2 linked regions of the Bombyx mori genome follow. The protein of the gene in region 1 binds, or shares a complex with, the protein of each later gene. Links are inferred from orthologs where the notes say so. Each region holds a gene or a part of one and is shown in the gene's direction. Other genes may lie near its edges.

Region 1 (3,500 bases):
TACGCGGCAGTTTCGGTGGGCCTACAGACCAATGACATTATTGAGTACCTGCAGAGACTGAGCAAGTGTGCTGTACCGGCCGGCATCGTAGAGTTCATTAAACTATGTACCCTCTCTTATGGTAAAGTGAAGCTGGTGTTAAAACATAACAGGTCAGTTCTGCTTCATTGCTTGTCATCCATCTAAAATAAAATTAAGCTAGGTAAGGCTAATCATTTTATTTTTCGATCACGATTTTTAGTAGCTTCTCAGATGAGCTGGTGAAAAACATGTTCGTACCGGTATAAGGACTTCAATGCTCCCTGTGCTGTGTAGCATATGTATTATGGGGACGACTCTGAGGAATTTTTTGCCTAGGAGTGTGCCACCGAATTTACTAATATTCATTGCATAAATAGCGACCACCCTCCTGATGCTAATAGCAAAATATGCCTTCACAAAGTTCATTAAAAGCTGTTTATTCAGAGCCAGAAAGAAGAGTATTTAAACAGTTAGAGTTTTTTTATTATTTATTACCCTTATAGGCAGACGAGCATACGGCCCACCTGATGGTGAGTGGTTACCGTCGCTCATGGACTTCAGCAATGCCAGGGGCAGAGCCAAGCCGCTGCCTACCGTATATAAAAACGTAGTACAAGAATACTGTTTGTAATAATATAAAGTTTGCAGGTATCTAGTCGAGAGTAAGCACGTGGAGGTACTGCAGAAGCTATTGAAAGATCCAGTGATTCAACAGTGCAGGCTGCGACGCGACGGCGACGAGGATCTGCTGTCCAACGACCTGCCCGCCAAGCCAGCCACGTCCCTCGCCAAACCAGGTGACGTATGCCTCAGCAAGACGCGGCGTCGAAGCGTAATACTTAGAGTTGGTTTCCTGTAAGCGGTCGCGGTTTTAACATCGAACGAATGGTACCTAGTGATCGCCTTTGACTATTTTGCAAACAAAGGGTTTATCTAAATTGGAAACAATTAACATAGAGCAACAAAACTTCCATCAAGTGATATGTCCCAATATTTTTGATTAGTATAGATATACATAAACACGAAATGTTTATAAAACATTCTTTTAGGTTTTGTTAGATTTAACAAAAAAATAACAATTCAGATACTCTCTTAACTTATAGAGTGACGCCGGAGGTTGTTTTCAAGTCATAATAACTAAAATGTTATGTGTGATTTGAATAAACAGGACTAGTCATATAGTGGAAAAATAGCATAGTGTGCATTACAGTGGAAAGTCGTCGTGGCCTAAAGGATAAGACGTCCAGTGCATTCGTACCTAGCGATGCAACGGTGTTCGAATCCCGCAGGCGGGTACCAATTTTTCTAATGAAATACGTACTTAACAAATGTTCACGATTGACTTCCACGGCAAAGGAATAACATCTTGTAGTAAAAATTAAACCCGCAAAATTATAATTTTCGTAATTAATGGTGGTAAAATAAATAAAAAATTGTTACGTTACAAATATTTGCTTTTTTTATTGCTTAGGTGGGTGGACGAGCCCAGAGTTCATAGACATCTACAATATAAATACCGTCACCCACCTTGAGATATGAGTAAGGTCTCAGTATAGTTACAGCCGCCCCACTCTTGAAACCGAAACGCATTACTGCTTCACGACGGAAATAGGCAGGGTGATAGTACCTACCCGTGCGGACTCACAATACGTCCTACCACCAATTACTTATTTGCCTATTTACATATTACTGATTGTGTTGCCGAATTTTAAAACGATGACGTACCATTTGTAAGAAGCAATTTGTGTATGTTTCTGTAGTGACCTATAAAACTTATCCTTAAAATAATCTCGTAACTGTCTGTCCATCTGCGTCTTAAGTTTACTTGACTGCTTCTCAAACGATCAGGTGAAGAAAAACCACCGGCGGCGAACGGCGCTGTGCCCGACGACATCAGTCAGTTCTATCAGCAACTAGATAAGGATGACGACGAGGAGGAGACCTCTGGTGTTACTGCCAACGCAGCTGTTGCCTTTGAAGTGGATCCTGACAAAATCGAAGTGAGTGTGCCAATGAATATTAATCCTATTGAAAATTTTAGCAACCCATACATTTTTTTTATTGCTTATATGGGTGGACGGGCTCACAGCCCACCTGGTGTTAAGTGGTTACTGGAGCCCATAGACATCTACAACGTTAATGCGCCACCCACCTTGAGATATAAGTTCTAAGGTCTCAAGTATAGTTACAACGGCTGCCCCACCCTTCAAACCGAAACGCATTACTGCTTCACGGCAGAAATAGGCAGGGTGGTGGTACCTACCCGCGCGGACTCACAAGAGGTCCTACCGTAGCATCGGTCACCACTTTCGTCGAACCCGTCGCTTGCGACGAAGGGCTCGGCGAGTAAACTTACCCACCGACCCAGCCCACTGAGTTTCTCAGTAGGTCGCGTTTCCGATCCGGTGGTAGATTCTGCGAAGCACGGCTCTTGCTAGGGCTAATGTTAGCAACGTCGTCAGGTTTAAGCCCCGTGAGCTCACCTACTTGTTAAGGCTACGCTGAAATGGTCTCTCAAGACCATCAAGCTTAGATAGGGAAAAAATAATAAAAAAAGGTATTTAAAACATACTGTGTGTTCAAAAAAAAAAAAAAAAATTGTTTTATAAACCATTTTGTTTTAAGGTAATACAAAAACGTTGTATCGAGTTGGAGCATCCATTGCTGGCTGAGTACGACTTCCGGAACGACTCCATCAATCCGGACATCAACATTGATCTTAAACCAACTGCCGTTTTGCGACCTTATCAAGAGAAGAGCTTGAGGAAAATGTTCGGCAACGGCAGGGCGAGGTGAATAGCCATTGCTTTGTTTGGTTCTGACAAAATTAGTCTATTCAGTCACAGGAATACAGCAAGGCAGTGATTTTTGACACGATGACATCATGCATTGCACGCTGACTAACATAGGCAATTGATGGAATCGAAGCTCGGGGTCGGGTGAGAAACGCATTACTGCTTCACGGCTGAAATAGGCGGGTGGTGGTACCCACCCGCCCGGACTCAAGAGGTCCTACCACCAATTACTTATTTGCCTGTTTACATATTACTGATTGTGTTGCCGAATTTTAAAACGATAATTTTTATAACACGATGTTATTCCTTCACCGTGGAAGTCAATCGTGAACTTTTGTGAAGTACTTATTTCATTAGAAAAATTGGTATCCGCCTGCGGGATTCGAACACCGGTGCATCGCTCGACACGAATGCACCGGACGTCTTATCCTTTAGGCCACGACGACTCAGTAATGCACGGCACTTCCTGTATGTACCAGGTCAGGCGTGATAGTGTTGCCGTGCGGCGCCGGCAAGTCGCTGGTGGGCGTGACGGCGGTGTGCACGGTGCGCAAGCGCGCCCTCGTGCTCTGCAACTCCGGCGTCTCCGTGGAACAGTGGAAGCAACAGTTCAAGTGCTGGTCCACGGCGGACGACAGCATGATCTGCAGGTCACTGACCCCATTATTTTAACCGACTTAAGGC
Region 2 (9,509 bases), on another chromosome or scaffold:
GGCGTAATTAGTGCCACCATATTATACCTATTTCTACCGCGAAACAGTGCTTGTATTTGAAAACTGTTATGTAATACAATTGAGTCTTAGATCGCACGGATCAAGGGTTTCCTTTTTTTATTGCTGAGATGGAGCGACTTGCACACTGCCCACCTGGTGTTAAGTCATCGGAGTCATTGGAGCCCATAGACATCAACAACGTAAATGCCGCCACCCACCTTCATATATGAGTTCAAAGTCAGCGCTCTATACAACGGCTGTCCTACCCTTCAACGCATTACTGCTTCATGGCAGGGCTCACAAGACACCCTACCACCAGTAAAGGGCTTCGGTGATCACTTAGCGCAGAATTAAAAACATAAGCTGTGGTATGTATCTACACTACAAGTTCCGACCGACTGTATCTATATACTATCTTGAAAGCGTAATATGTTATGTACATCGGTGGAGTTATTATAACACAGTCACGCTTTAGTGAAAGATCATAAGTTTGAATTATGAAAAAAATAACAACCACCTTTTTGCTAGCTATTTTATCAACCGAGCCATTAAGTTTATTATTAAGTCTCGTGTAGATAGTTACCTCTGTTAGCTATCAAGATTCATTTGTAAGGTCTGCATTAAATTTTAGTTAAGTCGGTGGTTCGTTTAGGTTTGTTTGGGTCCGATTGCCGTGGCAACGACTAGCCTCGCTTTCATATCACATCTTAAATTGACCTTATGTAAATTAGAGGCAATAATTGTGAATGTCGAGGTCAGAACCTTTTTACCATGAACCTAATTTTGTAACAATACGTAGGTGTTTTTGGTTAAATTGAGGAGTTCTACGGTTAATCGCCCACTCTCTTCCCGGTAGACCATATAAAGCGCTTTCATAGATTAAGTTGTAAGATATTTCTACTGTTATACTTATTATTATTATTTTAATATTAGTACATTTAACTCAGACTGGTGGTAGGGCCTCTTGTGAGTCCGCATGGGTGGGTACCACCACCCTGTCTATTTCTGCGGTGAAGTAGTAATGCGTTTCGGTCTGAAGGTTGGGGCAGCCGTTGTAATTATACTGAGACTTTAGAACTCATATCTCAAGCTGGGTGGCGGCATTTACATTGCGGATGTCTATGATATCTGGTAACCACTTAAGAGGCCGTGAGCTCGTCCATCCATCTAAGCAAGTCTTGTGGAGAAAATCGCTGGATCCCCAACCGCGCGGCAGGTGGGTATGTGGAAGTTAAACCTCGGTAAAAACTCTTGCCGCTCACAGCCGGTGCCCTACCCCAGACCGGGCCGGAGCCCAGTCGGGGCTATTGCGACGGCGGGACAGGATTAATACAGAGCATATTACATCCATCCCGCGGTCTCACAAGTGTAAAGTGGTTACCAGAGCTCATAAAAATCATGAGGTTAACAGTCTCATTTGTGTTGTATAATGGCTGTCCTACCCTTTAAACCGAAATTCTTGATAACATCCCAACAAAAATAGGCCAAATGGTGATACCTCCCTATAAACCCCATACCCACAAGTAAATGGCGATTGACGATCGTCAGAGAACCCTGCTGCCCATTCTCCAGTAACTCTCTTAATCGCTTTTTGCGTCACTTACGGGTAAATATGAGAGATGGTATTCTATAGCCAAGATAGGGTAGTAATTTATCACTGTTCCGAGTTTGGGAATGGATTTTTTACTCATATTTTTTTATATCTATTACTAAATATAATTAGAAAGATAAACACAAGTTTTTACATATTTTTTAATTATTACAAATTAATACAATATAATTTATAGAAAAGATACAGTCAATTTTACTCTACTACACTCATGTATATCAGTAAATGTTATTTTGTATTTGAAACTTCTATAGGATTATACTAAATAATTGTACAATTTACAGTACAAGATAAAAATAGTAAGTTTACACTTAGTCATAAGGCCTTTAAAGCTTTATAATTAAATTGTCTGTGACTTTTAAAACATCCAAAAATGACTTGACATAGACAATACTGACGAATGAGCATTAAATTATTTTTTTAAATGAAGAAATTCCAGCAACACCAATTTCTGCAAATAAATAAGCATTTTCTTCCATGTTCAAATATGGGTCAAATTCCCAAGAACTAACATAAACTTCAATGAGGCTTTCATCTCTACAGTGTGCTATGTTTTCTGAAAACAGAAATTATATACATTAATTATGTTTATAATTATAATTATCAGCGTCGCGCAGCGAGCTATGGAGATGGCTATGCTTGGTATTTCTCTACGGGGCCGAATCAGAAACGAGGAGATCCGTAGAAGAACCAAAGTTACTGACATAGGCCGTAGGATTAGCACACTGAAGTGGCAGTGGGCAGGCCACATAGCGCGAAGATCGGACGGCCGATGGGGCGGAAAGATCCTCGAGTGGAGACCACGTACTGGCAAGCTCAGTGTGGGACGGCCACCTACGAGATGGACCGACGACCTGGTAAGAACCGCTGGGTCACGTTGGATGCAGGTGGCAACGGACCGGCTGCACTGGAGATCACTTGGAGAGGCCTATGTTCAGCAGTGGACAATGGACAGGCTGAGATGATGATGATGATGAATTATGTTTACCTTAAATTACCAATAAGATAAAAATGTAAATTATTGAGTTATCACAGAGTTGTCAGGAAGCAGTATGTGAAATCTATTCTGTAGCAAATAAAGCCGGATATTTTCTGAAAATTATGTTTTGTATCCCAAAAATTTTCTATTAATTATTATTATTTATTTTGTTTATTAATTATTTTGGAGGCCTGCATAGAATTGAATGGTTTTAAAAAAGGGAATACTTGTCTTAGAATTCTAATGTAATCACGGGCATGTTGTTTTTATTCATTGCTTAGATGGGTGGACGAGCTCACAGCCCACCTGTTGTTAAGTGGTTACTGGAGCCCATAGACATCTACAGCGTAAATGCGCCACCCACCTCGAGATATAAGTTCTAATGCCTCAAGTATAATTAAAACAGGTTCCCCACCCTTCAAACTGAAATGCATTACTACTTCACGTCTAAAATAGGCAGGGTGGTGGTACCTACCCGTGCGGATTCACAAGAGGTCTTACCACCAGTATGTTTCAATAAATAATAATAATTTTCACCTGTCACAATTTTTTTTAGTTTGTACTCCTTTAAGAGTGATTCATATGTATTTTTAACACAAGCATGAATTCGGCCTACTGACCATGTCAAAATTACTGGCTGGTCAGTCGACTGCAATTTTGATAGTGAATCCAGTTGATTTTTTAGTATTTTTATACCTGAAATGAAACATTTAAATATGACATAGTTCAGTTTTGCATTAGAATTAGATTGATTAGAAAGTTAATGTATATTCCATTCCATTAAATTGTTTAAACTGTAACATTATTAAAAGTAGTCTCACATACTCCAATATTGTAGTTGATTGTTAGACTAACATACATCATTTTACTTACCCTCGATAATATTTTGAAAGCTATCTATAATTTCAACTAAGCCCTCAGTCAATGGCTTCAATAGGTGCGGATAATAATCATCATTATACTCGTGCAGTTTCACTGATGAGATCCCTTTACAAAACTTAGAACCTTTATCTTTTAGTTTGACCCAATCAATTAACAAACTATGAAACGAAGACACATGTGAAAATACAGTCTTTGATAAGCCTGGTTGGTCTTTATTTGGAGTTGTAATCTCTGAAATAATATCATTTATTAAATTACTTACTATTTCAATCGACATGGACAACAGAAATTTTGTTTGTTAAACTTTTTCTTCTTAATCGATGATGGGCAGACAAACTCACAGCCCACTTGATAATAAGTGATATTGATACCCAGCAACGTAACCATAATAGTTTATAAATCAAACTCTATGTAAATAATTACCTCTAGGTACAAAGTTGATAGCCAATTCTTTTATTGGAGTTTTGGACATTACGAACTTATTACTTAAATTTGAAATAAATATCTTTAGCCGAGTCTCTAAGTAGATAATAAAATTGAAGTGTTTTTGTTCTTCTTAATTTTTCAATATTGCAATTGGCTTACAGCCAGCGGTTACAAGACCTTCTAGTCCAGCTATAATATAATTTCTACGTAAAGAGCACGTAGAAATTCTAATCTGATAAATCAGAATTCATATGAAGCTAAATGAGATGAACTTAACTAATGTTAGTCTTTAAATTTGAGTGACATTATATGAAACTAGGATGTTTTATGATGCGTAAGCCGGATCGCACAAGAGGTGGGAAAAAGAAGATAGTCTGTGACACGGGACCTTTTTACCGCCGGGAGTCCGGGACTTTTTGGCGGGAACGCGAGGAGTGAAGTTGTGTGATTTGTTTTATTTTGTCGATTTAGTATTTCTTCAGGTTTAAATGTGTAATAACGGTGATTTATTAACTGTTTAATATCTGTGAAAGTTCACAAATGTGGGAAAATGCAACAAAGCCGCTGAACATAACTTCCCCGGAATCCTCCAAAAAGTCCACTGAAAAAAGGACATGGACCATACATTGCACGCCCCACTAAACGAACATCATCATCAGCTTATCTATTATTTATATTTATCGATTAAATATGTTAATATATTTTGCTAGTTTTTTGTAATACATTGTTTTCTTTAAGAAGATTTAATATGAATTATTTAAAATATAAATATATTTTACCCATGGCAGCTCCTTCAATATTATCAATGTAGCTTAATCATGCTTAAGTATTTCTTTTTATTTATGCTTTTGATTATCCCACCATTAAAATACCCTTAAATTTTATAATAAGTATGTAAAAATGAAATGTTTTTTTCTATAGATATTTTATTAATGTCCTTGAGGGCACGAGTAGCTGGGCCGAAAATGGCCCATGTCCTTTCATTAAATGACCACCATTTTACTGAGATTATATTTCATCCCATATCATCTCATCTCACTATATTTAATTTCATCTTACTTGATTATTGTCTCAAATTAATCATCTTCATTGCATTTCACTTCTTTCCATTATATAATTTTTCATAAAATTAAGAATATGAATTAAAATAAGACATGACCTAAAGGTCTTAGTTGAGCTGGACATAAAATACCCAAAAAAATTTTTTTTACCGCTGAATATTTAAAGGACGAAAAAAAAAAATGGTATAACTTAGAACTGTATAAGCCGCTGCAACAATAAAACTCCTATTGTTTCAAGTGTGGTGTTAATTACATAAAACACGATTTTCCCGCGAAATAAAGAAGGGACTTTATACGGACTCCCTCAATGGGATGAAATAAAATCGTCTCAGTAAAACAAGGATTATTAACTGAGAGTTCAGTGGACGTGACTAATGGATGCTCTGGATGAAATTTAATGAAACTAAATGGAATGAAACGTGTTAAGATGAAATAAATTAAAGATGTTCCAGTAAAATAGTGGGAATTTATTGACACTTAAGTATACTATCGAAGTAGTAGGTAGGTAGACTATCGAAGAACGTAAGATGTGCCGGGGCCACGGTAGTCAAAGTTGATCAGGTGATAATTGTGTAAGTGTGAAGGCTGGAATAGTTTCGACACAGGTAATTATTTTCATTTGAGAAGTAAGAATGGAAAATTTATCTAGTGGGTATTATTTTTCAATCATGCAACGTGGTGTTAAAATTTACATAAGCCAACTACTGTTCGCGATTTTGGAGCAATCTTTTTTCCGTGATAGTTCCCATTACAGAATCCTTTGCTAAATCGACTAATCTCCCTTTGCCTGTCCAAACTAGGGATGGTCTGTAACAGGTGAAATTAGAGACCTGTTCCACCTGTTCCTGTTCCAGCGAAAGAACAGTTCCAGTAGCCTGTTCCAATATAACAGCGTTTTGTTTTGCAACAGGTTTAATAATGTTTTAAATAGAATATGTCCACTTATAGGAACAGTTATAACATATGAAATGGTTTTAATACATTTTTTTAAATGAAAACAATCCTTCATGCTTTCTCAGGCTTAGGACTGACAACTGAATTTATTAATATTAATGATATGTGAAGCTAGTTTTGCCAAAATGTACTTAATACTTTAAATACTAACTAATATTGGCGAGGACTGCTCTCCCTCCGCGCCTCCGGTTTTTTATATACACTCTAGGGGTAGGGCAGACAAGACCAGGTGGAAAGTGATGTGCTCTGATTCGGTTTTCGATATTTTACGAATATTTTTGCAGTTTTATATCCAAAACACGAGCAATTTTACTGTTTTATATTTAAATCTTGTTTAAAAAGTTAATTTATTACAGAGACAGATTTTTTAGATGAGTGGACGAGCTCACAGCCCACCTGGTGTTAAGTGGTTACTGGAGCCCATAGACATCTACAACGTAAATGCGCCACCCATCTTGAGATATAAGTTCTAAGGTCTCAATTATAGTTACAACGGCTGCCCCACCCTTCAAACCGAAACGCATTACTGCTTCACGGCAGAAATAGGCAGGGTGGTGGTACCTACCCGTGCGGACTCACAAGAGGTCCTACCACCAGTAATTACGCAAATTATAATTTTGCGGGTTTCATTTTTATTACACGATGTTATTCCTTCACCGTGGAAATCAATCGTGAACATTTGTTGAGTACGTATTTCATTAGAAAAATTGGTACCCGCCTGCGGGATTCGAACACCGATGCATCGCTCAACACGAATGCACCGGACGTCTTATCCGTTAGGCCACGACGACTACGGGATTTTCCCGGGGATGAAATCCCGTCTTAACATTAGTACGGGTACCGCCTAAGGCGAGACTTTCGGCGCGCATCGCGGTACCGTAAGTTTCGTGTAGTCGGTGTGGTGGAGCTCGATGGGGTTTAGTCGGTAGTCGTTCTGCGGGGTAAGTGCTTCGCGCGCCTTTTTCAAGGCGTAGTCTCCTATGAGAAATTGGGGCAGGTGAAGGACCTCGGCCCTTCTCTTCTCCCCTTCTTCCTCTCAGGAGGCCAGGCCAGGAGGCGCCGGAGTCCGACATAACCCGGTCCGTTACCCCCCTCGACCGGGTAGCGTATTTCCATTTCCGTGTTCATTAGGAGGCAGTACTGCCTTGAAACACGCACGGGTTTGTCGCGCTAGCTTCCTTTACAAAATCGTGTTCAATTCAAGGCACGTGTCCTCAAATCGCGCACGGGTTTGCAACGCCAACTGCCCTTCTAAACACGTGTTCAATTCAGGGTACGCGTCCTCCAATCGCGCACGGGTTTGCAAGTATGCGCCTTGATTAAGCTCCACAAATCCGTGTTTGTTCGAAGGCACTTTTGTGTTTAATGAATAGGCAAGAAAACTCAAACAAAGTCTTTAACCTTTTATTAGGATCAAAATATATCTACACTCGGGTGCAATGAAATCGCACATCTGTACATTTTTTGAAAAATATTATTTACTTCTTTTTATTTAAAAAAATACATATATTTTTTAACATAAGGTTAAAGGATAGTTCAATACCTATTCAATGATACCACATAAGACATGATAAGTTTACCTGCCTGCTGAAACAAAACGACAACAGCAAACTCCAAAAATTGCTCCCTCAACTCACTGCAGTTTGCAAGACCAACTGCAGGTATAAAAAGGCATGTTTTGTATAAAACGTCATCCCTCCCGACTAGGCGCGTCAACACCTCCGCCCCCGCCGTTCGCCCAATCACGATGTTCGACCAGCCCATACCGTGGGCCCCGAAGGTCAAATATTTAGGCGTCACCCTCGACAGTAGGATGACATTCCGCCCCCACATCAAGACGGTACGCGACCGTGCCGCCTTCATTCTAGGACGTCTCTACCCGATGATATGTAGGCGAAGTAAAATGTCCCTTAGAAATAAGGTGACACTCTACAAAACTTGCATACGCCCCGTCATGACCTATGCAAGTGTAGTGTTCGCTCACGCGGCCCGCACTCACTTAAAGTCATTCCAAATCATTCAATCCCGTTTTTGCAGGATAGCCGTCGGAGCCCCGTGGTTCGTCAGGAACGTCGACCTCCATGACGACCTGGACTTAGAGTCCATCAGTAAGTATATACAGTCGGCGTCAATGCGCCACTTCGATAAAGCGGCACGACACGAGAACCCTCTCATCGTGGCCGCCGGTAACTACATTCCCGATCCTGCGGACAGAATGGAAAGCAGTCGACGTCGCCCAAAACACGTCATCTCGGATGCTCCCGATCCACTAACGGTGCTTCTAGGTACTTCAAGCACCGGTCACCGTTCTCGTCGAACCCGTCGCTTTCGACGAAGGGCTCGACGAGTAAATTAACTCTCAGACACAGCCCACTGAGTTTCTCGCCGGATCTTCTCAGTGGGTCGCGTTTCCGATCCGGTGGTAGATTCTGCGAAACACGGCTCTTGCTAGGGTTCGTGTTAGCAACATCGTCAGGTTGAGCCCCGTGAGCTCACCTACTAAAGTTAGGGTTACGCTGACATAGCCTCTCAAGGCTATCAGCTTAGGTAGGAAAAAAAAAAAAAAAAAAAAAGTCATTAGATGCAAGCCAACGTTAACCTGATAAGACTTCTAGTGACTCCAACGCCACAAATCCGTGTTTGTTCGAAGGCACTTTTGTGTTGTTTAATGAATGGGCAGGAAAACTCAAACAAAGTCTTTAACCTTTTATTAGGATCAAAATATATCTACATATATTCAAAGATGTATGAATATGGTATTGTATTGCAGGCAATCAACGTAGGTACTTATACAAATATAATTAAGTAATTTTATAAAATTAATGTTTTTTGGCAGGAGGCTCATTATCATCAATATTAGATGCAATATTATGAACACGTTTTCTTTTCACCGTTTCTGACTTGGCTGGTCGTCCTGATTGAATCCTTCCACTGCATGGTAAACCTTTCTTTGCGGCGAGCGAGCGATGTTGGTTGTACATTAATTTTTCGAGATTTTCGTGCGACATTTTTTTCAACTCTAAATGATATAATACTCGATGGAGTTTGTAGCTTCGACAAATCAGATTCAAACTTTGTAAGAATGTTTGTGTATGCAGCATTTGAATCCTTTTCCAAGATATCAGTAATTCTTTGCCACTGAGCTTTAATATTTTGAATAGCAGTGTCAAAGTTTTCATTGTTTATAATTACACTGTTTTCCGCTCGATTTATTGGAAGTTCAAAAGTGTTTGGTACAACATCATCTGGTGTAATAGAGTCAGTTTGGCTGTCTTCACTATTTGTGCCCGTAATATTTTTAAAGAACGACGGTAAAAACTGGTCACCCAGGGCGAATTTTGCAAATTGTTGACGATCACAGTCATTCAAATGTAGCGATGTGGTAAGTACAGTCCCATGTTTTCTTTCTACAGCGCAGATATGTTTACAAAATCGGCCCCCAGCACCATACGGACAGTCACATGTTGCCAATTCACAGTCCACAACATACAGATCAGTCTTCTTTTTCACGAAATAGGTATTGTCATCCATGTGTACAATATCCTTAATACTACTACTTGCTTGGCAAAATTTTTCATACGCTAACATAAGATTTCTT

Evidence for each region.
Region 2: general transcription and DNA repair factor IIH helicase subunit XPB (region 1) and DNA-directed RNA polymerase II subunit Rpb4 share a complex: the UniProt entries of both Homo sapiens proteins name them as parts of the TBP-based Pol II pre-initiation complex. The link is inferred for Bombyx mori from reciprocal best matches to the Homo sapiens genes ERCC3 and POLR2D.

The regions. Positions count from the first base shown.
Region 1 is NC_085117.1:11,798,180-11,801,679, reverse strand, and holds part of general transcription and DNA repair factor IIH helicase subunit XPB, read left to right. Parts: coding exon 1-152; intron 153-669; coding exon 670-818; intron 819-1,869; coding exon 1,870-2,021; intron 2,022-2,646; coding exon 2,647-2,813; intron 2,814-3,295; coding exon 3,296-3,466; intron 3,467-3,500. UniProt on the Homo sapiens protein: ATP-dependent 3'-5' DNA helicase/translocase. Binds dsDNA rather than ssDNA, unzipping it in a translocase rather than classical helicase activity. Component of the general transcription and DNA repair factor IIH (TFIIH) core complex.
Region 2 is NC_085114.1:9,604,465-9,613,973, forward strand, and holds the start of DNA-directed RNA polymerase II subunit Rpb4, read left to right. Parts: upstream 1-4,278; 5' UTR 4,279-4,388; exon of another isoform or gene 4,389-4,397; intron 4,398-5,195; 5' UTR 5,196-5,562; intron 5,563-9,509. Other genes in the region: uncharacterized protein LOC119628842, read right to left, coding at 2,017-2,165, 3,126-3,284, 3,462-3,701, 3,894-3,942. UniProt on the Homo sapiens protein: Core component of RNA polymerase II (Pol II), a DNA-dependent RNA polymerase which synthesizes mRNA precursors and many functional non-coding RNAs using the four ribonucleoside triphosphates as substrates.